Stegostoma tigrinum: one gene and its partners. The main gene of each other region encodes a partner of the protein of the gene in region 3 in a complex. Links are inferred from orthologs where the notes say so. Each region holds a gene or a part of one and is shown on either strand. Other genes may lie near its edges. The genes, in order: rbmx2, snrnp40 and bud13.

Region 1 (9,782 bases), on a different chromosome or scaffold from region 3:
TCCTTAAATAATAGAACAGTGTTGGTTATATCAGCTAAACTTAATTCTTTATACCGAAAACCATTAGAAAGTGTTAACTCCCAAAATATGCTTCGATTGTTTTGGGTGAAATATGTCCCTTGAAGAAATATTTCAATCATTCCTTTGGGGAAATTGGTGACTCATCTAAACAGGACATAACAAAGCTCATCCATGCCAAGAAACATCTAAGTCAATTCAAGCATGATACAGGAGCAAGTATCACCGTGATATCTGACAAAACTCCTTGGTTGAAAAATATAAAATTATAACTTACTGATTTGATGTTATGTTGACTACATAGAATAACACCTAAGTCTACAGCAGTGTTCAAAGTTTCTTTAAGGCATAAAGATCATCAGTTTGTAGAACTTATATATGTATAACAATCAATAACCATCACTTTTAAAAATTGCAAGTATGCTTTGCTGTAAAATATTGACATTTATCAGGCAGAGAAAAAACTTTACTGGCCTCATTAGAATGTTCACATTCTAACCCATGCAGAAGCATATACCTATGACCTTTAAGATTTCCAATGAAAAAATCTTCACAAACTTTTAATGCCCACAAGAGGAGCTCGAACAGTTCATCCATTTCACCAACACCTTCCACCCCAACCTTCAGTTCACCTGGACCATCTCCAACACATCCCTTACCTTCCTGGACCTTTCTGTCTGCTTTCCAGAGAGACCACTGGCTCCGTGACTCCCTTTTTGGCTCCACACTCCCCGCCAACCCTACCACACCCGGTACCTTCCCCTGCAACCGCAAGAAGTGCTACACCTGACCCCACACCCAGGCCCCAAGATGACTTTCCACATCAAGCAGATGTTCACCTGCACATCCGCCAATGTGGTATACTGCATCCACTGCACCCGGTGTAGCTTCCTCTACATTGGGGAAACCAAGAGGAGGCTTGGGGACCGCTTTGCAGAACACCCAGACTCCGTTCGCAGTAAACAACTGCACCTCCCAGTCGTGAACCATTTCAACTCCCACTCCCATTCATTAGACGACATGTCCATCCTGGGCCTCCTGCAGTGCCATAATGATGCCACCCGTAGGTTGCAGGAACAGCAACTCATATTCTGTTTGGGAACTCTGCAGCCTAATGGTATCAATGTGGATTTCACCAGCTTCAAAATCTCCCCTTCCCCCGCTGCATCCCAAAACCAGCCCAGCTCGTCCCTGCCCCCCTAACCTGTTCTTCCTCTCACCTATCCCCTCCTCCCACCTCAAGCCGCACCTCCATTTCCTACCTACTAACCTCATCCCGCCCCCTTGACCTGTCCATCCTCCCCGGGCTGACCTATCCCCTCCATACCACCCAACCCACACTCTCCTCTCCACCTATCTTTTCCTCTATCCATCTTCAGTCCGCCTCCCCCTCTCTCCCTATTTATTTCAGAATCCTCTCCCCTTCCCCTCTCTGATGAAGGGTCTAGGCCCGAAACGTCAGCTTTTGTGCTCCTGAGATGCTGCTTGGCCTGCTGTGTTCATCCAGCTCCACAGTTTGTTATCTTGGATTCTCCAGCATCTGCAGTTCCCATTATCACAAAGTTTTAAGAGCTGGTTTCTTATCCTCCACAAACAAGAGAATACTCAGGTTCTAAATTCATCAACAACAAAGAAATCTCGGCAACCAAAAGGCAATATGATAGGCTGGGAGACATTCAACCAGATTTACCTTGTAACAAGTTTGAAAGGATAAGACTACTTTTCATACTTAAGTTCTATCAGACATTTTGAAGAAATCAAAGAAACTCTGGGCATCATAGTGGTTCAGTGTCAATATTCATATGCCTTCACAGCAAAATATAACACCCACTAGCCTTTCTAGATATTAACTTTCAACATTCTTTGTGAAGAAGAAAATCACCTATTTCTTCAAGTTGGCATAAACTTGTAAAGTCAGAGACTTGATGGGAGAAGAAATAGTAGTAAACTTGATGTGCTTATTTAAACAATAATATACCGGGTTTAATAAGGAGGGAAAAACTGGGAGGGAGATATCATATATGATTATTGGCATGAAAAGTTTAACCTTCAAAAATTTGTATCGCTCCACCCACCAGGATCTCAGTAATTGTCTCTGTGAAGAGCAAGTCAGTTCTTGTTGAAGAGGCAGGGACGAGCCGGGCTGGTTTTGGGATGCATTGGGGGAAGGGGAGATTTTGAAGCTGTTGAAATCCACATTGATACCATTAGGCTGCAGAGTTCCCAAACGGCATATGAATTGCTGTTCCTCTTAGGAGATATCTATGTCTCTTACCACATCTAATTTGATTAACCAGCCGCTGCTGTAATAAAGGATGTATTTCATCATCTAAAAATGTTGTTCTAATGGAAGTATATTTTGAGAGTCAATATTTTCTTATAGTTTTGGGTATAAGATAAAAGTTTTTTCCAGAAAGAACCGGCACTGTTCTCTCAGTATGTAATAAACTATTTCTTGTCATTCTTGTCTGCCAAAGATTTATTGGTGGTTAACCCTTAACCATTTAATATTATTGAGTCCTGTGGTCTAGTATTACAAGCAGGGTTATATCTACCCAAAGACATTCTTAGCAGAACTAGGTCCCAGTTGAGGGCAGCCCTTACAAGAGGAAAGGGAAGGAAAGATTTACTTGTTGGTGGTGTTACGTGGGAGGTGGAGAAATTAGCAGTGGTAGAAACATAGGAAAAGGAGTAGCTTATTAAAGCTCTTGGTCAGAGGGCAAGTGGGAAAATAGAAGTGTTGACACCTCCTGTTAACCACAGTTACAGTGGGTGGGGATGAGGGGAGAGAGGAGATGGTTGGAGTGAAGAAGAAATAGAAAGACATATCAGAACCTGAAAGCTTTCCATCTTGTTAATTTCGCAACCTTCTCATTATCCTCATGGTTTTATCTCATTGACATCAGGGAATTTTAGATAACAAGAGACAACATTGTGCTGGGTGTTATAACCAGAAGGCATATTTAAATCTTCAATCACTTTACTAACAAGAGAGGTAGGTGATTGCTGAGCTGTTGGTGAATGCCTATTTTTTATTTAATCAGTCAGCTCAATATCTGATTTAAAAAAAACAGACTTAACAGGGTGGCTCAGACCTGTGGAGTGTCCACAATTCTTGAATCCAAGATAACCAGATGTGCAAGACTGAATTCAGTGGCAGCAGCAGCTGAAACTGCATGTTTTCAAGTGTGAACAGCAGCAGGTATTACTGCAGGATTGAGGGGTTTATGTGTAGTACATTTATAGATGTGGTCACTCTGCAATCTTAAGGTATGCAAGCAGAGAAGGAATGGATAACTGTCAGATAGTGAAGATTATCCAAGGAGGCAGTTCAATTTGGGCAAACTCTCTCTATTTTGAATGTTATATGAATGATGGTTCCTTTGGTGTGTCCAGCCAGCTTCTAGTCCTTGCTACCAAGCTTACTCAACACGACAGGAGAAGCAGGAAGAATATTGGAAAAGCATTAGACATCAGGGATTCAATAGCTATTGGAACATACAGAATTTTTTTCTGGCTGCAGACAAGAGTGCAAGATAAATTGCCTCTTCAGCACCAAGATCAAGGGTATCACTAAATGGCTACAAAACACTCTGAACGTGCTGGACAAATAGCCAGCTCTTATGGCTACTATCAGTATTAAGGATGTAAGTAAGAAAGAAGGATGATGTCCTCCAGAATGGATTAGGGATCTTAGAAAGAAGCCAGCTAGCAGGAGCTCAATGGTAGTAATTTGCAAATTATTCCCAGTAACATAAACTATTGTTTAGGAGTTTACGGGTTATGGTTGCCTGAAGCGTGCTTGCTGGGATGGTTCAGGAAGAAGGGCTTTGGATATCTGACACTTTGGGACTGGTTCTTGCGAGGTGTGACCTGTGCACCTTAACAGAGTCAGGACCAATGTCCTTACAGGCCTATTTGCTACTGCTGCTGCTGGGGACGATTTAAACCATTTGGGCAGAGGTGTGGGAACCAGGAGGTGACATAAAAGAGGAAGATCAAAATATATAGAGGATTAGGAGAGACAAATAGCATTAGAGTGAAAAATGGTGTTAGTTTGGGTGTGGGTGAGAGAAAATGTGCTAATGTCTAAACTATATTTACTTTTAAGAATGTATTAGAACATGCTAAATAAGACAGGTGAGCTCCAGTTGCAGGTAGCCACATGGAAATATGATGTTTTAGTGATAACAAGAGGTCTGGCATAATAAAAGGCAGAGTGTGGTATTAATAATCCCCAATACGAGGCATTCAGGAAAAAGAGGGAAGGAAAGATAGATCGAGGAATAGTTGTACTGATTAAGGAGAACATCGTAGTGTCAAAAGAGGGAGAGGATCTCCTAAAGTGTTCAGGACAGAAACTATTTTGTTAGCGCTAACAAACAATAGTAATACCAAATAAAAACTGGAAGAACTGCGGATGCTGTAAATCAGAAACAAAAACAAATTTGCTGGAAAAGCTCAGCAGGTTTGACAACATCTGTGAAGGGAAAAACAGAGTTAACATTTCAAGTCCGGTGACCCTTCCTCAGAACGCTGCCAGACTTGCTGAGCTTTTCCAGCAGCTTTTGTTTTAGTACCACTACATTGTTGGATGTATTCTATCAGACACTAAAGTGAAAAATATAGAGAACAAATTTGCATCAAAATTACAGAGATGTAGAACAATGAAGCAAGAGGACTAGAGAATTGCAAAAGTTATTGTTCAAGAAACAGTACAAGAATTGCAACTACAGGAATGTCTCTTTAAATATTTTAATCAGCCTGTTCAGAAATATCATGACACACCTCTGTTTACTACGTGCAACTTAAAACATTGAGCTCCTGGCCCCAGTAGGGGCACGAGCACCACACCGCAAGAGCTCAATCCAGTCATTTTAATCTTGGTGATGACAAAACTTTCAGACATGACAAGGTTACGGCTCACTGGGACAACTGAAAGTTAATTAAGGAAAACCAGCTTGGATGTGTTAAAAATGTCTGTTTCTTTCACTATCCCCAATGACAGACAACCTCATCCTCGCATGTACTGGGATTAAAATTCTCCGAAGGTTGATGACCTTTTGTCAGAACAAATGACAATTATGCATTTCCAATACAGTGGATTAATCAGATTTTATAATTTGCATTTATCTGCATTTGTTCAAGTAGCCAAATTGCGTATTGTTTTCCGACATTGAGAATTCAAGCGAAATCTCGATCACAGCGTGTGATTGGTGGCGTGCGTCAGTAGGTGGTGGTGTGTGCGGAGTTCTCCACTTTCCTGTTGCGGTCCTTCTTGCTCCTCTCCTTCCGCCCTTATCCGGGATGAGGAGCTGCTGTGGTAAAATTTGGGACTTTACTGCGAAATGAAGTGAGTAGGCGATTAAATTGATGTAGTTGCTGGTTTAACAAACAGCATCACTAAAGGGAGGAAATTACCTGTCCGGTATGGACAGGTAAGAGGTTTCTCTGAGTTACTTCAAGGTGGTAAAGGATCAGTGGCAGGATTTTTTATTTAAAATGTCCACCGTTCCTGAAAGAAAGGAACCTGCTTTCAGCACCAACTCTTAGTTCTTGGGAATTATTTAAGTAAAACACTAAAGACGGTTAATGACAGTGGTTTGATCGGAATAAAATGTGGCCAGAAGTATCTGAGTTGTTTGCCAACTGAAGTTTCAACGTGAAACGAATCAGTCGTTAATAAAACCGTGGAAAGGTTAATAACTTGGCATGACCATAAATGTGAATGAAATGGTAGCTGCTGCTTTGTCAGTCACTGTATTTTTGTCCTTTGCATCACCCCGTGCCTTGACATTTTTCTTTCAACAATCTCCCAAAAGCCTTTCTGTCTCCTTATGTTTCCAGTTTCCCTTCCCATTCCCATTATCATTTCCTGTAGCCTGTGAAGCAGTTTCATGGATTTTCACAGTATTTGAGGAGCATAATAAAAATGCGGGTTATTGAACTAGGATTCAGCTCGTCTGGCCAGCAAAACAACACTCTGCACTGATTTAGAGGGCCTTTGGAACATTTTCAAGATGAATTACTGAGCTTGGGAGAAGTGGTGAACAAAATAAAAGAGACAACCGTAAACCCAGTGGTGAAAACCGTGAGCTTCTTCAAACTAGGCATTTGTGGAAGGGAAGTGACTGTAAACTAAAATGAAAGCAAATGTGTAGAAATTCAAAATAGCTCTAGAAAATGCTGGAAACAGTTCTGTCCTACCATTTAATATGCGAGTGAAAAGTAGCCTCAACTCTGTTCAAGACTTCTTTTATTTTGAAACGAATACAGTTTGCACCCAAATCAGATGATCTTGCCTCTCATTAGATCAACTGGACAAAGTCTATTGCAAATGACACTTATGTAAGTGCATGTAGTCTGGGAAAGACTGAGTAGTCATCTGCACTCAACCCAACAATGTTACAAATACCAGCTTGGCCAAATATCCACTTGAGGATAATATATTTAAGTTATTTAATTTAATTTAATTTAATTTAATTTATTGCTGGAAAAACTCAGCAAGTTTGGCAGCATCTGTGGAGAGAAGAATTTCAGTTCTGAGGAAGTGTCACTGGCCCCAAAACATTAACTTTGATTTCTCTCCACAGATTCTGCCAGATGTGCTGAGTTTATCCAGCAGTTTCTGTTTCTGATTTTGATTTCCAGCATCTGCAGTTTTTTTTCATTTTTTTTATTATTGTTTGCAGAATCAGAATGTAAGCTATGGAAATTTCCTCTGATAGAATATGTTGTTTTCTTTTCAATACATGTAAAATGCTTTTCTTATTAATTCATGGGATGAGGGAATCGCTGGCAAGGTCAGCATTTACTACCAAGCATCAGTTGCCCTGTAGAAAATGGCAGTGAACCTTCAACTACTGTGCTCCTTGGTGTTTCCTCTGGCCCATCCTTGTGCTGATGAGATATCTATTCGGGATTTTGACCAATGACAATGAATAGCTCATATCCAAATCAGAATTTTGTGTGTTTTGAAAGAGAACTTGTGGGTGGTAGTGTTCCCATGCATTTTCTGCCCTTTTTCTTCTAGATTATAGAAATCAAGGGTTTGGAAGGTAGAGTCTAAGCAGTTTGGCAAGTTGTTGCAAATGCAAATTGTAAATGGTACGCATTGCTGTAATTATATGTCGCTGGTAAAAGCAGTGAATGTTGAAGGTGTTAGATGCGGTCGCAGTCAAACAGGCAGTATTTGGACAGAGGCTGCTTTAGTATTGGAGGAGTTGCAAATGGTGCAGAAATTGTGCAGTCATCAGTGAAGGATCTCACTTCTGACATTTACAATGGAGAGAATGTTGTTGAAGATGGTCGGGTCTGGGACACTACCCTGAGTAACTCCCGTGTCTCAGTTGATTGACTCCAACAACACAACCACCTTCCTGTGTGCTAAACAGCAGGGAGTTACCCTCTCCCCCTCCAATTCTGATGAACTCCAGTTTACTGTGGCTCCTTAATGCCATACACAGTCAAATGCTGCTTTGATATAGAGGTAATCACCCTTACTGCCCCTCTGGAGTTCAGCTGTTTTGACTTAATTTATAATGAGGTCAGGAACAGAGTGGTCTGTTAGAACCCAAGCTGAGAGTCTAGTAAACAAATTGTTGTTGAGTAAGTACTGCTTGAAATCACAGGTGGTGATGGTGCTTTCTGTATTTTCGTTAGAGGATAGACTGATGGGATGGAATTGTTGAGTGGGATCTGTCCTGCTTATTGTGGATAGGATGTAATCAGGAAATTATACATATTGCTGGATAGATCCCAATGTTGTAGCTGCAGTGTACGAGCTTAGCTAGGGTTGCTGCTAGTTCTGAAGCGTAAGTCATCAGTGGTATTGCTCGAATGTTGTCCAGACCGATTACCTTTGCAGAGTCCAGTGACCAGTTTTTATTTGCCATTATGTGGAATAAATTGAACTGGATGTAGCTGGAACCTGTGATGCTGGGGACCTCAGGAAGAAGCTAAGATAGAGCATCCACTAGACACTTTTGGCTGAAACTGTAGGAAAATGCTTAAGCCTTCACATTGACCTGCTGGGTTCCCAATCATTGAGATAGAGATCTTTGTGGAGCCGCCGCCTCCAGTGAATTGTTACATAGTCCACCACCATTCACAACTGGATGCAGCGGACTGTAGAGCTTAGATCTTAAGATGGATGCCTTTGTCATTGTTCCACAGTCTAGTTAAACAACTGCCTGATTCTCAGTTTGAGCTCCAACAGGATTACTCAGCTGCTGACCTCAAAAGTGTTCTGAGATAGGGTCACCAAACCCAAAACGTTAACTCTGATTTTTTTCTTCACAAATGCTGTCAGACCTACTGAGCTTTTCCAGCAACTTCTGTTTTTGTTCCTGATCTACAGCATCGACAGTTCTTTCAACCTTAATACGAGGTTGGTCCAAACACGGACAAAAGAGTTGAGGTGAGGTAAAAATGACTGCCCTTGACATAAACACAGCATTTGACCAAGTAGGGCTTTAAGGAGCCTTGGAAAACCTGGAATCGGTAGGAATAAGATGGCATTTGTTTGCTGATTACAGTTATACCCAGGAAAAAGAAAGATGGTCATGGTTGTTAGACAGCGAACATCACAGCCCTAGGGCATTTTTGCAGGAACTCCTAATGCTAGATATTTTCTAATCAACGTGTTCAGAAATGTTATTATGTATTTCTCTGGAGCAGGTGGGACTTGAATTCCTGAGGATAAATATTTTAATCACCCTGTTTAGGCATGTTATTATGTACTTTGGGAGCAGGCAGGACTTGAACCCAGGCCTTCTGATCTAGCGGCAGGGTCACTTCCACTGCAGCCCAAGAGCTACCAAAGAGCATAAAGGTCTTTCTTCCTTTCTAAATATTTTTAATCAGTCCAGAGATATCCCTGGAGCAGGCGGGACTTGCACCTGGAACTCCTGGTTCAGAGATAAGGGTAGTACCACTGCACCACAAGAGCCCTAATTCCTGAGAATGGTGTCTGAGATCCAATGATTTTTCAGCTGTTTCATCAATAATCTTTGCTCCATCACAAGGTCAGAGCTGGGGATATGCACTGATGTGCAATCATCAGTGCTCCACTGTCCAGCATCTTTCACCATATCTCGGATACCGAAGTGTCCATATGCAGCAAGATATTAACAATATCCAGGGATGGACAGATAAGTGGTAAGTGATGACCACTTCACACAAATGTAGGGTAATGACCATCTTCCGCAAGAGAGGATCCAATTTTCAATGGAATTATCTCTAAGTGCCAACTATCAATACCCTGGAGTCACCTTTTACCAGAAAGTAAAACAGGCCCGCCAGTAAATACTGTGGCCACAAGAGTGGGTCAGAGGCTAGGAATTATGCAGAGAATATGATGACATACTCTCCAGTTGTCTTTTTGAGTTTGTATCAACAACAAAATGCTTGACATCAGACAGTATGAAACAGCATGCATCATTGGCATTCCATTCATCACCATCAACATTTACTGCTGTCATTTACTGCTTGCACAATGGCAGTAGTATCGACCATCGAGAGGAAGCGCTGAAGTAACTCATCAAGTTTCCTCTGAGAGCATCGTCCAAATCGGCAACTTCTATCACCTAGAACGACTAGGTTAGTAAATTCATGGGACCCCTGTCAACTGCAAGTTTCCCTCCAAACCACACAATATCCTTATTTGGAAATGTAATGCCATTGCTTCACCGTTACAGGGTCACAAGCCTGGAATCTACTTCCTAACAGAACTGTAATATGCCTACAACCTTACTAGTTTATGA
Region 2 (9,782 bases), on a different chromosome or scaffold from region 3:
AAGCATGTTGTGATAACTGAAATAATTGATCACAAATGTTCAACCTTTAGAAATTGTTATATCCCTTGACAAAGGTGCCAAAAATTAAGACCCATTATTCCCAGAGTTGTCACAAAAGCTAGAGATTTTATAAAAATAGGCAAAAAACCCTAATTTATCTGTCTTTTAGACCGTCCTCTTTTCTTTTCTCTTCTCCTGTTTCTTTCTCTATCTTACATTTTCCTTACTTACCTCTTAAGCTCGGATGGCATCAGCAGTAGACCTTGTGAACCTCGAAAAAGCCCAGTAGGGAAGAGTGTAGGCCCAGCATGAAGGATAGTAAGCCCAGCAGGGAAGAATGTAGGCCCAGCATGAAGGACAGCAAGCCCAGCGGGGAAGAACATAGGCCCAGTGTGATGGACTGTAAGCCCAGCAGGGAAGAATATAGGCCCAGTGTGATGGACTGTAAGCCCAGCACCGAACAGTATAGGCCCAGTGTGAAGGATAGTAAGCCCAGTGGGAAAGAGTATAGGCCCTGTGTGATGGACAGTAAGCCCAGCAGGGAAGAGTATGAGCCCAGTGCGAGGGATAGTAAGCCCAGCAGGGAAGAATATAGGCCCAGTGTGACAGACAGTAAGCCCAGCACTGAAGAGTATAGGCCCAGTGTGAAGGACTGTAAGCCCAGCGGGGTAGAATATAGGCCCAGTGTGACGGACAGTAAGCCCAGCACTGAAGAGTATAGGCCCAGTGTGAAGGATAGTAAGCCCAGCGGGGTAGAATATAGGCCCAGTGTGAAGGATAGTAAGCCCAGCACTGAAGAGTATAGGCCCCCCACAGGCTGTTCAGCTACCTGAGAGCTAATAGCATGGTTGTCGGCAGACAGAATTGCCCAGGAGGGACACTGCAGACTGACAGTTATGCCAAATTGCAAACTCTGATCTGGAAATAAAACTGTTACACCAATGCAGTAAAACTACCGGTTAACCAATCATTAGAAATTACAGGGAAATCTGAATAACTATTACCATGTTTGTTCACACTGTTAATCTAGACTATACCTTCCAATAGTGGTATAAAGGTGGAGGCTAAAATTGCTGAAAAAGTCCTCAAAGTACATATCTTTAAAAATGCAGTTCCAGTCTACATGGAAGAAACTTTCAAGTGAACAGATGGTATTCCTTTATATATGTATATTTTGAAAATGAGCAATGAAAGGTGTGCAGCCCATTAGTTGAGGCTATATTGTGAATGTGCATGAATATTGTACAATGTACATGAAGAAAAAAAGTGTTGCATCTGCAAATCACGTCATCAGCAGAATGAGTGCTTCATATTAGAATCCCTACAGTGTGGAAACAGGCTCTTTGGCCCAACAACGGTCCATGCTGACCGTCAGAGCACCCATCCAAAGCCATCCCCCTCCTAATGTACAAACCCCTGAACATTATGGACAATTTAGCATGACCAATCCACCTAGCCTGCACATCTTTGGACTGTGGGAGGAAACCAGCGCACCCAGAGGATGCTAACACAGGTAGAACGTGCAAACTCCACACAGACAGTTGCCTGAGGATGGAATTGAACCAAGGTCCCTAGAGCTGCAAGGCAGCAGTACTAACCGCTGTGCCACCATTTACTAGTGGTAACCGTAAGGGAAACAAATGCATACTATGTGTGGGGGCACACTGACTCAGTGTTTAGCACTGCTGCCTTACAGCAACATGGACCCAAGTTCAATTCCAGTCTCGGGCAACTGCCTGTATGGAGTTTGCACATTCTTGAACAACTGCAGTCCATGTGATTTAGGTACATAGGAAGGGAGTTCCGGGATTTTGATCCAGCAACAATGAAGTAGTGGCACGTATACTTCCAAGTTATGATGGTGTGCAGCCCAGGGGAGAATTTGCAATGGTGGTGTCCCCCAGCTGCTAAAAATCATGTTTATTTTAAAATTGCAATGAGCATATAAACTAATTCTCAGGTTGTTCTAAATTTTGGTAATCCTTAATTGGAACCATCTAAGCCAAAACCCTCACTCAGGATTATTTCTGCAGCCTGACAATCTTATATGTTTGGAATGAGAAGATTCAGCCCTTCTTCTGTTAACCAAATCAAAATGCTCCAAAAAAATTTGGCTCCATTTTAGCCTTAAGCATCCAAAAACAGTTTAACAAGGGGGTGGGGAGAAAGAACATTCAAACCAGGCATGTCTCAATGAAACAAAGGCTGATATCTTTAATAGGGTTTAGTTTACAATGAGACTGAAAGTATATGAGTTTGTGTCCTCATTAGTTCATAACATTTCAAACTGATAGCAGTAATTTCAGCAGAAGTGGTAACCCAGCAGCACACCCGATGGGGAAATTAAGAATTACAACAATAATTTACAGATTTCTGTGAAATTCTGCACACAACGACTCCAGAAATTGCCCTCAGTTTCAGTGTAGTCATATCTGTTGAGTACAAACTTGTGAATATTTTTCAATATGCCTGACAGCAAAGAGTTAGCTCCTGATCAGCAAAACTGTAGAAAGTGACAGCAGACAATTGCGGTACTCCGACAAGCATCATCATGGGCCAACATAAATCAAAATATACATTAACGTGTTCTCCAGTCCTCTTAGGGCACAGCAGCTGAAGAGAAGAAAGAGAATGCCTCTGAATACAGAAACTATCAATGACGCCTGTGTACACAAGCAGGTTTCTCTGCGAACACAGGCAGTTACACTGTGTGGGGGCTATATTTCTAGGCTATAAATGTGCAAGGACACCGCCACGTTGCATTGGAAGACCAGGCGGAGAGACAGAGCCCTTTCGCCCTCGACCGAACACACGCTGTGGTGGAGCTGCAGTCTCGGTGCACTGATATTTTCAAAGCAGTGGGGTGGGGGCTCCTGCCGGAGTTGCTGATGAGCCTGCAGTACGTAAAAATGAAAAGGACTGCGGATACTGGAAATCTGGAACAAAAACATAAACTGCCGGAGTAACTCCACACGCCTGAAAGCTTCTATGGGGAAGAGGTGCTGATGAAGTGTCAGTGGGCCCGAAGCGCCAACTCTGCTTTCTCTCTCCTCAGAAACAGCCAGACCCGCTGAGTTCCTCCAGCAATTTGTTTCTGTTTCAGCCAACTCGTGTCCTGTACCTACATATCACACTTTATAGATACCATTTACAAACTAATTCTCACATTAAACCATTGGATAAGTCATACCGAAAATCAAAATAATGAAGCAAATGAATAAACCCCACACCTCAGAAGCCATGCCATCTTGGAGCTTCGACAGGTAGCCAATTGCGAGGAGCCTTACTCAGCCTGGACTGAGTGACATCGCCCTGAGCAAATCGGTTAGCGGATCTCCATGGGTCGCGCCCCCTCAGTGGTAATGGACACCGGGGGTAGCGAATAGAAGACGCGATAAGGAGGGGCTAAGCCGGACGGCTGAGTAATGAGGGGCCGTGTTATTGAGAGGTGGGTGCGAGGGGGGGGGGTCAGATCGTTTAGCTGAAGGCGCTCAGTTTGGGAGAGGGACTTGCCGTCGGGAGTTCGGAGACATCGACGAGGACGATGATCGATCAGAAACGCAAGGCGCAGGAAATGGCGCTGATTCCGACCAAGCGGCCGAGGAACGAGGCGGTCCCAGGGGTTCCGCAGCAGGCGGTGAGGCCCGGGACGGAGGGAGAGAGAGAAAGGGAAAAAAAAAAGCAGGCAGGCCACTCACACTCACTCCCACTAGCGATCAGAGAAGGCTGTTCGGCCCATTCTGTCAGTGCTGGCTCTCTGGAGGAGAGCCATTCCCTTCAACGTCTCCCCATAGCCCTGATGTAGACTGAGGGATAAACCTCAACCAGGGCACTGAGGATAACCCGAGATAGTGAGGTGTGGAGCTGGATGAACATAGCAAGCCGAGCAGGACAGCTGCCGTTTCGGGCCTAGACCCTCCTGTTCATTTTTAAAACATTGTGAAGGGATCTTTTACATCCACCTGAGCAGGGAGATGAGGTTTTGGTTTAATATTTTTACCCGCACTTCCCAGAGTGGTGTACTCCCTCATTTATCCCATTTAACTTTAATAACAAAACTGAAAATAACTAGTCAGTCAGTGATAAACAGGATGCCTGTAATTGACACCCAATCAATGAATTGGTCTTAAAAACAAAAGAACTGCAGATGCTGTAAATCGGGAACAAAAACAAAGTTGTTGGAAAAGCTCTGCAGGTCCAGCAGCATCTGTGAAGTAAAAATCAGAGTTAACATTTTGGGTCCAGTGACCCTTCCTCAGAACTGATTAACTCTGATTTTTTTAACTTAGTAAATGCTGTCAGACCCAATGAATTTGTCAGTTGAGTACACCATGGTAGATTTGTAGTGTCCCTGCCTCTGGGCTAGATGCCCCAGGTTCAGATCTTACCTGCTCCAGAGGTGTGATATGACATGTCTGAGCGGTTGATTAAAATATATTTAGAAGTACTATAGGTTCCCCCAATAGTCAGTGGGAAACTGGAAAAAAAAGAGTTCTCAGACATCTGTAAGAATAATAATGTTGTCATGGTAGGAGCTTTTAACTTTCCAAACATAGACTGGGACTGCCATGGTGTTAAGAACTTGGAGAGGAACTTTGTGTGTACAAGTAAATTTTCTTATTCCGTATGTGGATGTACCTGCTTGACAAGCAGTAACACCTCATCTTCTCTTGGGAAGTAGGATCGGTGACTGAGGTTCCAGTGATCATAATTCGGTTAGTTTTAAAATAATTATGGAAAAGAATAGGCATGATCTTAAAGTTAAAATTCTAAACTAGAGTAGGCCAATTATTAGGTATTAGCCAGGAACTTTCAAAAGTTGATAGGGAAAGGCGAGCCATAAGTAAAGGATAGTTGGAAAATGGGAGTCTTTCAAAATGTGATAACGAGTTTAAAGACAGTATGTTCCTGTTAGTGCGAAGGGCAAAGCTGGTAAATGTAGGGAATGCTGGCTGACTAGAGAAATTGAGTTTTTGGTCAAGAAAACTAAAGAGAGATATGTCAGGTATAGACAGCAGGGATTGAGTGAATCCCGAGGGGAGTTTAAGGGCTGTAGGAGTATACCTAAGAGGGAAGTCAGGAAGGCAAAAAGGGAACAGGAATGAGCTTTGGCAAATAGGGTTAAGGAGAATCCAAAGAGGTTCTAAAAATGTATTAAGGGCAAAAGGGTAACTAGGGAGAGAATCAGGCATTTTAAAGATCAATGTGTCCATCTATATGTGGAACCACAGGAGATGAATGAGATACTCAGAGTATTTTGCATCAGTATTCACTGTGGAGAAGGACATAAAAGCTAGAGAAGTTGGGGAAATAAATAGTGATATTTTAAAGTGTCCATATCATAGAGGTGGTGTTGGATGTCCTAAAACACACAAATGTGAATAAATCCTGATCAGGTGTATTCTAGAACATTAGGAACCTGGGGAAGAGATTGCTGGGATCCTTACTGAGATATTTGTATCACTGATAGCCACAAGTGAGGTGCCAGAATACTGGAGGCTGGCTAATGTGGTGCCATTATTTAAGAAGGATGCGATAGTGAAGCCAGAGAACTATAGACCAGTGAGCCTGATATCAGTGGTGGGCAACTTGTTAGAGGGGATTCTGTGGGAAAGGGTTTACATGCATTTGGAAAAGCAAGGACTAATTAGGGACGGTCAACATGGCTTTGTGCATGGGAAATGGTGTTTCATAATTTGATGGGTTTTTTTGAAGAAGTGACAAAGAAGATTGAAGACAGAGTGGGGGACCTTGCCTACATAGACTTCAACAAAGTCCCACAGGCAGACTGGTTAGCAAGGTTAAATCACGTGGAATCCAGAGGGAGCTTACCAATTGGATACAAAATTGGCTTGAAGATAGCAGACAGAGAGTAGTGTTGCAGGGTTGTTTATCCAACTGGAGGCCTGTGACCAGTGCTGTGCCGTAAGGAATGGTGCTGGGTCCACTGCTTTTTGATACTTACATAAACGATTTGGATGTAAATATCGGAGATATTGTTAGTAAATGTGCAGATCCCACTAACATTGGAGGTGTAGTGGGCAATGAAGAAGGTTATCTCAGAATACAATGGGACCTTGATTAGATAGGCCAATGGGCAGAGGAGTCACAGGAGGAGTTTAGTTTAGATAAATATGACGTGTTGCATTTTGGGAAGGCAAATCTGAACAGAACTTGTAGAGTTAATGATAGGGCCCTCGGGAGTGACGGCAAACAAAAAGACGTAGAGGTGTTGGTGCATATTTCCTTTGAAAATGGAGTCACCAGTAGACAGGGTGGTGAAGAAGGCGTTTGGCACATTTTTCCTTCATTGGTCAGTGCGTTGAATATAGGTGTTGGAACGTCACGTTGCAGCTGTACAGGACATTGATGAGGCCACTTTTAGAATACTGCATTAAATTCTGGTCTCCCTGCTGTAGGAAATATGTTAAGTTTGAAAGCGTTCAGAAGAGGTTAACAAAGATGTCAGGATAGGAAGAGCCTGGGGCTTTTCTCCCGAGGGCATCAGATGCTGAAGGGTGGCCTTAGAGAGGTTTGTACAATCATGAGGCATAGGGTGAATTGACAAGGCCTTTTTCCTAGGGAAGGGGAGTCCACACCTAGAGAACTTAGGTTTAAGGTGAGAGGGGAAGGATTTAAGAGATCTAAGGGGCACCTTTTCATGCAGAGAGTGGTGCATGTATGCAACAAACTGCCAGATGAAGTGGTGGAGGTGGGTGCAATTACAACATTTAAAAATCATCAAGATGGATGCACAATTAGGAGAAGCTTAGAGTGATATGAGACAACTGCTGGCCAATGGACTAGATTAGCTTAGGACACACAATCGGCACAGACGAGTTGGACTGAACAGTCTGTTTCTGTACTGTATGACTCCATGGCCGTATAACTAGTTAACAGTTCCTGTCTCAGGTTTTTGGAATTGCAGCTGGTATAAATGCAGTGGATTTTGCTTATGTCCAGGATAAGCTGGGCGAAGATTGCTTTGCCAGAGTACTGCTAGACAGAGTACTTCCATTAACTTGGGATTTGATGAGCGAAGGAGTTTTAGGATCATTGTTTGAAGCCGACTTGTGAAGAACTGGTTATTTGGTTACCAGCAGATTTGAAATGAATAGTCAAAAGAGATAATGGGAACTGCCGATGCTGGAGAATCCAAGATAACAAAGTGTGGAGCTGGATGAACACAGCAGGCCAAGCAGCATCTTAGGAGCACAAAAGCTGACGTTTCGGGCCTAGACCCTTCATCAGAAAAGGGGGGTGGGGAGAGGATTCTGAAATAAATAGGGAGAGTGGGGGAGGCAGACCGAAGATGGATGGTGGAGAAGATAAGTGGAGAGGAGAGTATAGGTGGGGAAGTAGGGAGGGGATAGGTCAGTCCGGGGAGAACAGACAGGTCAAGGGGGTAGAATGAGGTTAGTAGGTCGAAAATGGAGGTGCATCTTGAGGTGGGAGGAGGGGATGGGTAAGAGGAAGAACAGGTTAGGGAGGCAGGGACGAGCTGGGCTGGTTTTGGGATACAGTGGGGGAGGGGAAAGGGAGATTTTGAAACTTGTGAAATCCACATTGATGCCATTGGGCTGCAAGGTTCCCCAGCGGGAATGAGTTGCTGTTCCTGAAACCTTCAGGTGGCATCATTATGGCAATGCAGGAGGCCCAGGATGGACATGTCATCTAAGGAATGGGAGGGGGGAGTTAAAATGGTTCGTGACTGGGAGGTGCATTCGTTTATTGCGAACTGAGCGTAGGTGTTCTGCAAAGCGGTCCCCAAGCCTCTGCTTGGTTTCCCCAATGTAGAGGAAGCACTCTGACATCTGGAAGTCTTGGGTTTAAGTTCCACTCCAGAAACCTGAACTTATTATCTAAATAATGCTTCAGTGCAGCACTAAGCAGATTCTGCGTTCATCAGCGGTTTATCTTTTTCGATGATACATTAAATCAGGTCCCATATGTCCATGTAGGTGAATGTTTTGAAGATGAGTCAGAGAGTTCCTGGTGGATTTTTTTTAACCCCTTGACCTCAAACCCATGTTATCAGATTATTAACTAGTTACTATTGGGAAACTTGCTTCACGTAAGTTTCCTGCCATCTGTCCCTACAATATAGCAGTGGCTGCACCTCAAAACTGCAACTGGCCCGAAGACTCCTGGTGCATCAGTGTGGCACATGAGAACAACAAACTGGAACAACTTTGTCCTAATGCTCTAACTTGCGCTCTAGCTGAAGCGGCTTAATTTGGGATGCCAGACAAGTATGAGTCCCAGTCAAGGCTGTAACGTAATGATTGCTGGGTTCTGCAGGGTAAACTCTGGTTTTGAAATTTGACACCCTAATGTGAATTAGATCAGCAACGTACGTGTATTGGCTCAAGTTTGTCTAATGTGTACAGCAATTTCATTGGGGCGTTTGGATTTGAGGACCTTTCCAATTCACATGGTCTATGTAGGCCATCCAACATGTAATGTGGTGGAGAGGAAAGGTGTTTGGACTGCCACCTAGATCAAATTTTCTCTTTTGTTCTACTGCCAATCATTTAGGGTCCCCCGAGAACATCAAGTCTTCAAGCTCCTATAATGCTTCTAACAGGTCATGAGGGAGAAGTTTACTGTTGTAAGTTCCACCCAAATGGATCAACGCTGGCATCTTCGGGATTTGACCGACTCGTACGTAAGTGATAGACTATTTCATCTTTGTTCTGCCTGCACTCCTGCAAGCTTGTTAAGTTTCTAAATATAACTAAACTTTAATTATTTTGGAATTGTTATGTAAGGCCCTGATCATTTTGTTAATACTGGTACATTTCTTTGCCCTAATATTTTAATGGCAATATCAGATATGACGGCACTGTAAACCGTGATAGTAGAAGTGTGAGGTCACCCATTCTGGATACAAAAAAAAACAAATTTGAATATGTTATTGATGGTAAATGAGCTGGTTTGTGCTAGAGCTAAGGGAATTCACTATCCATGTCCACAAACTACAAAAACTCCCTGCACAGACGCAATAGGAAAAGCTAATCCAATGTTGCCCTTTTCTCTCAAGAATTAGATTGGGGTGATGATGCGCCAACTTGTACAATGCCCACCTGCAGTATTATATTTGGTTTTAGGTATCATCTTTGAAGAATACATTAACATTCGGCAGGGTGTGTCACAGTATCGTCAGTATGATACCACAGTTTAAAGGGTTAAAATATGAGGATGTAGTGTATAAGCTTGTCTTGTATTCATTGGAGTTTTAACACTAGACAGGTTTCTAATTGAGTTTCTTAAAATGCTAGAGATTCAGTGGGGTACACATAGAAACTATTTCCTCTGAAGGAATCCTCTATAAGGGGACATGATGCCAAAATTAGAACCGAACCTTTCAGTAGTGAAAATAATGAGTGCTTTTTCAACTATTGTGTGAATCTGACCCTCCTGACTCTTTCCTCACCCACCAGTAAAAGTTGTGGATAGTCGATCAAATTGAAGTTTTAGATCCATGATTGAATTTCTGTTATGTAAAGGTATCAAGGAATATTTAGCAAAGATAGGTAGATGCTGTTTTAAATACAGGTCAGTTATGGGCCAACTGGCAGTATAGGCTCAAAGGGCTGATTGGCTTGCTTCCTGTTTTCTGTGTTCCTATAATGTGTAATAGGTCCATGTTCCGTTCATCTCAAGCTTCAAAAATACCCAGCACTTTACTTTTTCCAACTTGTATTATCTCTGGAATGAGTATTTTGAGCTCTAAAACCCTCGCCTGAACTATGCGTCACCAATGATCATTTTGGATCTGG
Region 3 (9,782 bases):
TTGCTCCAGAGTTGTCCCCACTAGTTACTGCCAATACTGATACTCCATTTCCTCCCAACCCTCTTCTTCAAACCTCATCAAATATCCTTCTGATCCTTCCTTCGTTACCCAGCTTCCCTTAAAATTATGGTCAGAGATAATGGGAACTGCAGATGCTGGAGATTCCAAGATAATAAAATGTGAGGCTGGATGAACACAGCAGGCCAAGCAGCATCTCAGGAGCACAAAAGCTGACGTTTCGGGCCTAGACCCTTCATCTCAGCCACTTTAAGTTTCACATTCTCAGCACTCACTGGGTAAAGAAATTTCTTTTGGTTTCGCATTTGGACATTGTAGTCACTGTTTTTAAATTTATAGTCCCTAGTTCTTGTCTATCCCATAATTGAAAACATTTTCTCTATATAGCCTGTGTTGTGAAGTTGGGTCCAGTACTTGTTGATTGAGCGGCAGGGAGATACATTTTGGTGTTTGTAAAACGTTAAAGGGGAAAGCACTGTGTGTTCCCTTTAAAGGGTGATGTGTTTTTTTCCGTGCTTACAGATTTAAAAATGGATGCCTGTGAGCAGCAGCTTGAAGTTTGCAAGTACAGAGAGCACCCGAACTGAAACATTAGTTTCGAAAGGCCATACAGTTAGCAGGCCAAGCAACAGTTTTTACCAACTCAACAGATGTTTGAATTTTGCCAATCAATTTGAACCAGGCACTTAGATACCAAAAACCAATTAATTTTAAATCTCAGAAATACAAAAGCTGACGTTTCGGGCCCAGACCCTTCATCAGAGACCCTCTCTGATGAAGGGTCTAGGCCTGAAATGTCAGCTTTTGTGCTCCTAAGATGCTGCTTGGCCTGCTGTGTTCATCCAGCTCCACACTTTGTTATCTTGGGTTCTCCAGAATCTGCAGTTCCCATTATCTCTAATTTTAAATCTGATGGTTTTGACAACATAGGACCAATTCTACTGTAAGAAATATTGATAAGTTATCAAGGATATAAAATAAAAGGGCAGTTGGACAAAGCTCCTGAGCTAAGTGCCATCTGCCTTAGTTAGGAGCCCTCAGCTCTCAAGAAAATTGCTGGCTCTCATAGCCTCCTCCATGTCTTAGAGAAAGCACCATCTAAATAACAACGGTAGCCATGGCACAACTAGTTAATATTCCTGACAGATGAATCTATGGTGAAGGCACAGAACATTCTGGAAGACACGTAACCTGGCTGTAATTTTGAGAGACTTTTTTTTATATACAAGTAGGACTTTTATTTATTGGAAAGCATACCATTAGAATCTTACTTTATTTGGTAATTGTTAGTAGTTAGAAGAGATTTATTCAGTTTGTTAATAGTTTAGTTAATTTGTTCACTTTTCGAGTTAGATAAATAAATTGTTAGTTGTTGACCTTAAAGTGAGTGTCAGGAATTTATTTTCTTTAACCACTAGAAACTGCTGAAAAGCAAGTCATACCACTTTTCATACTCCTTTTACAGATTATAAGGCAAGGTGCTCCTCTTTGGATGTTTCGGATTTAGCTCTCAGATGGGGGACAACGTCAGCTTTGCAACATCTGTAACCAAATTCCTTCACACAGATGACAGTGAGCATATTAACAACATAGCCACAGTTATATGCACTCACCCATCTCGACTTGTGTGTAGGAACACATCGGGATCTTGGGAATCTTCCTTTTCATCTTAATAAAAAGTCAAAAAACTAATGATGAATGCAACAACAATGACTTTCCCGTGTTTTATTTTAAATAAAGGATTGTTAAAAGAGTTGGATTGGGATGTAGCTTCCATCTTTTTCTCGTGTGTAGCGGAAAGGACTGGTTTCAGCTACTGATTTAGTTATCACTGAAGGAGACTAAATTCATTCCAGCGAGAACAGGCACAACAAATTTCTCTAACTATGTGGAGCAGAGGAGATGCAATGCTGAAGCAACGCTAAAACATGTTAGTGACCCACACAGAGTTAAAGCTTCCAGCTGCAGAAGCAGTGCTGTGTTAACAGCATCAAGACTGCAGCTCACTTCAGTGTCCTTATTGGGTTCCCGTTCCTAAGCACTATTCAGCAACCAGTGCTGTATTAAACCTGAACTGCCTTTTAAAGTAGCCCAGTGAGACAGTAAATATGTCAAGCCACTTCAGCAATTCAAAGGGGCAGCTCACTACCAGCTTGTCAGGGAAACTTCAGATGAACGACAATGCTAGCCCAGCCAATGATGCTTGCATCCAATTAATGTATTTATAACACAGCGGCCAACACAAATTCACTGCACAGAATGAAATGAGTCTTTTTAAAAAAGACGCCTCACGACTTACCTCCTAAAATTTTCCACTTATTGCTCAGGCGGAATTCCTCCATTTGTTGAATGATTTCAGGCCTTTCATCAATGAACTCTGCCACCTAAAGCAACAGGCTGGAGATCAACACAAAAGTATAATACAACAACAATCTGCATTTACATAGCCTTGTCATAGAGTAAAACAGCCCTAAATCATTCTCAGGAATGGTGATCAAATAAACCCTGACACAAGACATTAGGTCAATTGACCAAAAGCCTCATCATAAAAATTAGGTACGAAGTTTGGACCCAAGCAGTTTAAAGTACAGCATGATGTAGTGAATATAAACAATGATCATTTTAAATATTCACTGTCATGATTAGATTAGATTCCCTACAGTCTGGAAACAGGCCCTTTGGCCCAACAAGTCCACACAGCCCCTTGCAGCATCCCACCCAGACCCATCCCCCTATAACCCACACACCCCTGAACATTACGGGCAATTTAGCATGGCCAATCCACCTAACCTGAAAATCTTTGGACTGTGGGAGAAAACCGGAGCACCCAGAGGAAACCCACACAGACACGGGGAGAATGCGCAAACTCCATACAGACAGTCGCTCGAGGCTGGAATCGAACCCGGGTCCCTGGCGCTGTGAGGCTGCAATGCTTACACTGAGCCACCGTGCCGCCCCTCATCTATCACATTGAACTGTATATGGGCAAGTTCAGAGACTAAGGCTCCCTCTTCACTGTACCTACCAAAAAACCCCAGGATAGGTACGGAATGGAATTAGAAACAGAGTGATGCTCCCGCTACATTGTCCCTAATGAACACACTCTGGACAAAGCATTCAAACTCAGCCATAAGGTCAGTCATTTCCAAATACACAGCAAGACACTTTCCACAGCAGTCTCTCACAGAATCTTAGAGTACAGGTAGGAGGATTTATCTCCTTTTACCCGTATTGGGTGTATTAAAAACTTAGCTAATTTGTCCCACATCCTTGTTCTTTCCCTCATCATCCTGTAAAACCTTCCACTTTGAGTATTTATGAAATTCCCAATGAAAAGTTACTTTTAAATCTGTTTCCACCACCCAGTTGAAACTAGAACAACTTTCTGCACTAAAAGAAATTCTCCCATCACTTCTGACTCTTCTGCTCTCATGTGGAACTTATCGATTTGTTTATAAGCGAATGTTCAACAAGCATTAGGAAGACTGGGATTAGCTTTAGAGACTGGTCAGATGGGCTGGAAACCTTCTCTAGCTCTGAATTTTCTCCTTTCCAAATCACTTAACAACCTTCTTGTGGGGTTTTGGCAGTTCAATTAAAATGTCTTGTTGATACTGGGGTATCTTCAGCAGCAGTAACAGTAGTCACAGTGTTGAAGTCTTAATTAGTTATTTGCTGACAAATCTTAGAATCAGTCAGTCCTGAGAATAGCTATTTCACCTACCACAGGGGCTTCATCATCCTCATCCTCTGCTGCCTCTAATACAGCCTCTTTCTCCTTCTCCTTCGCAAGGGTCTTCCAGGTCACATCATCATCCACAATCCGCATTCTGTAATATAACAGGACAGAGGCTTTCAACTGACAGAACTAGACTCAACAGCATCCCTGATCTAAAACAGATACAGAGTAAAGTAACACTTCACATGATAAAAAGGGAAAGCTGACAACACCACAGATTACAAAAATGAGAGGGCATTGGAGAACTGCATCGTGGATAAGAAATTTCAATTGCACGAAGAGGCTGAGGACACTGGGGTCCTCCACTCTAAGAGTAAGGATGGTAAAGGGGTGTTTAGATAGAGCAGTAAATAACGAGAAAGCTTCTAGTGGCAAGAGATCCAGAAACCAGAGGAACACAAATTACACTAAGAGAGAAGGAACTGTATCAGAGGAGCAGGAAAGGTGATGTTTCAGGCCTAGGCCTCCCTCAGCCTCCCTGCCCCTCTGATGCTGCTTGGCTTGTTGTGTTCATCCAGCTCCACACCTTGTTAACACAAATTATAGCCATTACCACAGGTGAAACTTACTTTATAAAACAGATCGAGGTTAAACATTACAACATTGAGGAGAGAGGTGACGGGATAACTTCTTTAAAGATCCAGCACTGGGGCAATGGGCGAATGGCCTCTTTCTGTGAGGCATGTTATTAATAAACCTCAAGAAAAAGTGAACAATATTTAACTCTGTCACATAATGAACAACTGCCCATTAAAAGCAAGAAACCGTTCCCTTGTGAAAACTAACTTAAAACACGACAACGGAATTACTCCAAAGCTACAATGTAATTCTACAACGATGAGGCCACAGCAAAGTGTTGAATTATGAATTTCTCTAGCGCCTATCAGGAGCTCGGCTATAACGAGGTCCCGGGTGATCCGGTGATAATTTTACTGATAGTTTGGTGTTTGGTGCGAATGAGGTTCAGACCCGGCTCCTGCCGCCTGAGGCGTGCGGGAGGGCGGCCTCACCCGCAGGAAACCATCAGGCCTCAGGCCTTTCCACGTCGGGCTGGCCGCTTACGCTGCTCCCTGCGCGGGCCTCACCCTCCGCCTTTAATCTTCACCCTCCGCCTCCTCCTGGTCCGCTTGGGGCCCGGCTCCGAGCCGCTCAGGTACCGCTTCAGGTATTCCTCCTTACTCAGGCCGGCCATGGGATCCCCTCCCTCTCCCGGCGCTACCGGCCCGGCTCCTTCCTACCCGGACTCCGCTGGCGCTGCTTCCGCCGGCACCGAGCGGTCTTCACTCACCGGCCCCGCTCGACCGGCCCGGCCCCCGGCCCCCGGCCCCCGGCCCCCGGCGGGAAACCCGCCCGCCTCGCGCCGCCATCTTGGTGCCTCAAGCCGATGTCTCGCGGACAGGATGGTCACCCCCCCCCATCCCCCCCCACATCCAGCCCATCACCCCTCAAACCCCCACCCCCCCTCACATCCCCACCCCCCCTCACATCCCCACCCCTCACCCCCCATCCCCCCTCACATCCCCACCCCTCAAACCCCCACCCCCCCTCACATCCCCACCCCTCACCCCCCCATCCCCCCTCACAATCCCCACCCCTCACCCCTCACATCCCCACCCCTCACCCCTCACATCCCCACCCCTCACCCCCCCACCCCTCACCCCCCCATCCCCCCTCACCCCCTCACCCCCCCACCCCCCCTCACATCCCCACCCCCCCCTCACATCCCCACCCCTCACCCCCCCACCCCTCACCCCCCCATCCCCCCTCACATCCCCACCCCTCACCCCCCCATCCCCCCTCACATCCCACCCCTCACCCCTCACATCCCACCCCCACCCCTCCCACTCCCCCCCTCCCCTCACATCCCACCCCTCACCCCTCACATCCCCACCCCTCACCCTCACATCCCCACCCCTCACCCCCCCATCCCCCCTCACATCCCCACCCCTCACCCCTGCACATCCCACCCTCACCCCCCCATCCCCCCTCACATCCCACCCCTCACCCTCACATCCCACCCTCACATCCCCACCCCTCGACCCCCCATCCCCCCTCACATCCCCACCCCCCCTCACATCCCCATCCCCCCTCACCCCCCCATCCCCCCTCACCCCCCATCCCCCCTCACCCCCCATCCCCCCTCACATCCCCATCCCCCTCACATCCCCATCCCCCTCACATCCCCACCCCCCCCTCACATCCCACCCCCCCTCACATCCCCACCCCCCCTCACATCCCCACCCCTCACCCCCCATTCCCCCCTCACATCCCCACCCCTCACCCCTCACATCCCCACCCCTCACCCCTCACATCCCCACCCCTCACCCCCCATCCCCCCATCCCCCCTCACATCCCCACCCCCCTCACATCCCCACCCCCCCATCCCCCCTCACATCCCCACCCCCCCTCACATCCCCACCCCTCACCCCCCCATCCCCCCTCACCCCCCCATCCCCCCTCACCCCCCCATCCCCCCTCACATCCCCACCCCCCTCACATCCCCACCCCTCACCCCCCCATCCCCCTCAATCCCCACCCCTCACCCCCCCATCCCCCCTCACATCCCCACCCCCCCTCACATCCCCACCCCTCACCCCCCCAATCCCCCCTCACATCCCCACCCCTCACCCCTCACATCCCCACCCCTCACCCCCACATCCCCACCCCTCACCCCCCCATCCCCCCTCACATCCCCACCCCTCACATCCCCACCCCTCACATCCCCACCCCTCAGCCCCCATCCCCCCTCACATCCCCACCCCTCACCCCCCCATCCCCCCTCCCCCTCACATCCCACCCCCCCTCACATCCCCACCCCCCCTCACATCCCCACCCCTCACCCCCCCATCCCCCCTCACCCCCCCATCCCCACCCCTCACCCCCCCATCCCCCCTCACCCCCCCATCCCCACCCCTCACCCCCCCATCCCCCCTCACCCCCCCATCCCCACCCCTCACCCCCCCATCCCCCCTCACCCCCCCTCACATCCCCACCCCTGACCCCCCCATCCCCACCCCTGACCCCCCCATCCCCCCCCTCACCCCCCCATCCCCACCCCTCACCCCCCCATCCCCCCCCCTCACCCCCCCTCACATCCCCACCCCTCACCCCTCACATCCCCACCCCTCACCCCTCACATCCCCACCCCTCACCCCCCCATCCCCCCTCACATCCCCACTCACATCCCCACACCTCACCCCCCCACCCCCCCTCACATCCCCACCCCTCACCCCCCCACCCCCCCTCACATCCCCACCCCTCACCCCCCCATCCCCCCTCACATCCCCACCCCCCCTCACATCCCCACCCCCCCTCACATCCCCACCCCTCACATCCCCACCCCCCCTCACATCCCCACCCCTCACCCCCCCATCCCCCCTCACATCCCCACACCTCACCCCCCCATCCCCCCTCACATCCCCACCCCCCCTCACATCCCCACCCCTCACCCCCCCATCCCCCCTCACTTCCCCACCCCTCACCCCTCACATCCCCACCCCTCACCCCTCACATCCCCACCCCTCACCCCTCACCCCTCACCCCTCACCCCTCACATCCCCCCTCACATCCCCACCCCTCACCCCTCACATCCCCACCCCTCACCCCTCACATCCCCACCCCTCACCCCCCACATCCCCACCCCTCACCCCCCCACCCCTCACCCCCCCACCCCCCCTCACATCCCCACCCCCCCTCACATCCCCACCCCCCTCATCCCCACCCCTCACCCCCCACATCCCCACCCCTCACCCCCCCCATCCCCACCCCTCACCCCCCCCATCCCCACCCCTCACCCCCCCCATCCCCACCCCTCACCCCCCCATCCCCCCTCACATCCCCACCCCCCCTCACATCCCCACCCCCCTCACATCCCCACCCCCCCTCACATCCCCACCCCCCTCACATCCCCACCCCTCTCACATCCCCACCCCTCACCCCCCCATCCCCCCTCACATCCCCCCTCACATCCCCACCCCTCACCCCCCCATCCCCCCTCACATCCCCACCCCCCATCACATCCCCACCCCTCACCCCCCCATCCCCCCTCACATCCCCACCCCTCACCCCCCCACCCCCCCTCACATCCCCACCCCTCACCCCCCCACCCCCCCACCCCCCCTCACATCCCCACCCCCCCTCACATCCCCACCCCCCCTCGCATCCCCACCCCCCCTCGCATCCCCACCCCCCCTCGCATCCCCACCCCTCACCCCCCCCATCCCCCCTCACATCCCCACCCCTCACCCCTCACATCCCCACCCCTCACCCCTCACATCCCCACCCCTCACCCCCCCATCCCCCCTCACATCCCCACCCCCCCCTCACATCCCCATCCCCACCCCTCACCTCCCCATCCCCACCCCTCACCCCCCCACACATCCCCACCCCTCACCCCCCCATCCCCCCTCACCCCCCATCCCCCCTCACCCCCCCATCCCCCCATCCCCCCTCACCCCCCCATCCCCCCATCCCCCCTCACCCCCCCATCCCCCCTCACATCCCCACCCCCCCTCACCTCCCCATCCCCCCTCACATCCCCACCCCCCCTCACCCCCCCATCCCCCCATCCCCCCTCACATCCCCACCCCCCCTCACCCCCCCACCCCCCCTCACCCCCCCATCCCCCCATCCCCCCTCACATCCCCATCCCCCCTCACATCCCCACCCCCCCTCACATCCCCACCCCTCACCCCCCCATCCCCCCTCACATCCCCACCCCTCACCCCCTCATCCCCCCTCACATCCCCACCCCCCCTCACCCCCCCATCCCCCCTCACATCCCCACCCCCCCTCACCCCCCCATCCCCCCTCACATCCCCACCCCCCCTCACCCCCCCATCCCCCCATCCCCCCTCACATCCCCATCCCCCCTCACATCCCCACCCCCCCTCACATCCCCACCCCTCACCCCCCCTCACATCCCCACCCCTCACCCCCCCTCACATCCCCACCCCTCACCCCCCCATCCCTCACCCCCCCATCCCCCCTCACATCCCCATCCCCCCTCACATCCCCATCCCCCCTCACATCCCCATCCCTCACCCCTCACCCCTCACATCCCCACCCCTCACCCCCCCATCCCCCCCTCACATCCCCACCCCCCCTCACATCCCCACCCCTCACCCCCCCATCCCCCCTCACATCCCCACCCCCCCTCACATCCCCACCCCCCCTCACATCCCCACCCCTCACCCCCCCATCCCCCCTCACATCCCCCCTCACATCCCCACCCCTCACCCCTCACATCCCCACCCCTCACCCCCCCACCCCTCACCCCTCACCCCCCCACCCCTCACCCCTCACCCCTCACCCCCCCACCCCTCACCCCTCACCCCCCCACCCCTCACCCCTCACCCCTCACATCCCCACCCCTCACCCCTCACATCCCCACCCCTCACCCCTCACCCCTCACATCCCCACCCCTCACCCCTCACATCCCCACCCCTCACCCCTCACATCCCCACCCCTCACATCCCCACCCCTCACCCCTCACATCCCCACCCCTCACATCCCCACCCCTCACCCCTCACATCCCCACCCCTCACCCCTCACATCCCCACCCCTCACCCCCCCATCCCCCCTCACATCCCCACCCCCCCTCACATCCCCACCCCCCCTCACATCCCCACCCCTCACCCCCCATCCCCCCTCACCCCCCCTCCCCCCTCACCCCCCCTCACCCCCCCTCACATCCCCATCCCCCCCCTCACATCCCCATCCCCCCCCCTCACATCCCCACCCCTCACATCCCCACCCCTCACCCCTCACCCCTCACATCCCCACCCCTCACATCCCCACCCCTCACCCCTCACATCCCCACCCCTCACCCCTCACATCCCCACCCCTCACCCCCCCATCCCCACCCCTCACCCCCCCATCCCCCCTCACATCCCCATCCCCCCTCACATCCCCATCCCCCCTCACATCCCCACCCCTCACCCCTCACATCCCCACCCCTCACCCCCCCATCCCCCCTCACATCCCCACCCCCACCACCCCCATCCAGCCCATCACCCTGACCCCC

What was found.
Region 1: bud13 (region 3) and rbmx2 share a complex: the UniProt entries of both Homo sapiens proteins name them as parts of the activated spliceosome. The link is inferred for Stegostoma tigrinum from reciprocal best matches to the Homo sapiens genes BUD13 and RBMX2.
Region 2: bud13 (region 3) and snrnp40 share a complex: the UniProt entries of both Homo sapiens proteins name them as parts of the minor spliceosome. The link is inferred for Stegostoma tigrinum from reciprocal best matches to the Homo sapiens genes BUD13 and SNRNP40.

The regions. Positions count from the first base shown.
Region 1 is NC_081368.1:47,498,928-47,508,709, forward strand, and holds the start of rbmx2 (RNA-binding motif protein, X-linked 2), read left to right. Parts: upstream 1-5,166; 5' UTR 5,167-5,366; coding exon 5,367-5,371; intron 5,372-9,782. UniProt on the Homo sapiens protein: Involved in pre-mRNA splicing as component of the activated spliceosome. As a component of the minor spliceosome, involved in the splicing of U12-type introns in pre-mRNAs.
Region 2 is NC_081377.1:34,181,200-34,190,981, reverse strand, and holds the start of snrnp40 (U5 small nuclear ribonucleoprotein 40 kDa protein), read left to right. Parts: upstream 1-3,466; 5' UTR 3,467-3,544; coding exon 3,545-3,637; intron 3,638-8,538; coding exon 8,539-8,668; intron 8,669-9,782. UniProt on the Homo sapiens protein: Required for pre-mRNA splicing as component of the activated spliceosome. Component of the U5 small nuclear ribonucleoprotein (snRNP) complex and the U4/U6-U5 tri-snRNP complex, building blocks of the spliceosome.
Region 3 is NC_081385.1:596,482-606,263, forward strand, and holds the start of bud13 (BUD13 homolog), read right to left. Parts: upstream 5,077-9,782; 5' UTR 4,950-5,076; coding exon 4,843-4,949; intron 4,784-4,842; exon of another isoform or gene 4,327-4,783; intron 3,850-4,326; exon of another isoform or gene 3,849-3,849; coding exon 3,743-3,848; intron 2,416-3,742; exon of another isoform or gene 2,403-2,415; coding exon 2,318-2,402; intron 1,687-2,317; coding exon 1,632-1,686; intron 1-1,631. UniProt on the Homo sapiens protein: Involved in pre-mRNA splicing as component of the activated spliceosome. As a component of the minor spliceosome, involved in the splicing of U12-type introns in pre-mRNAs.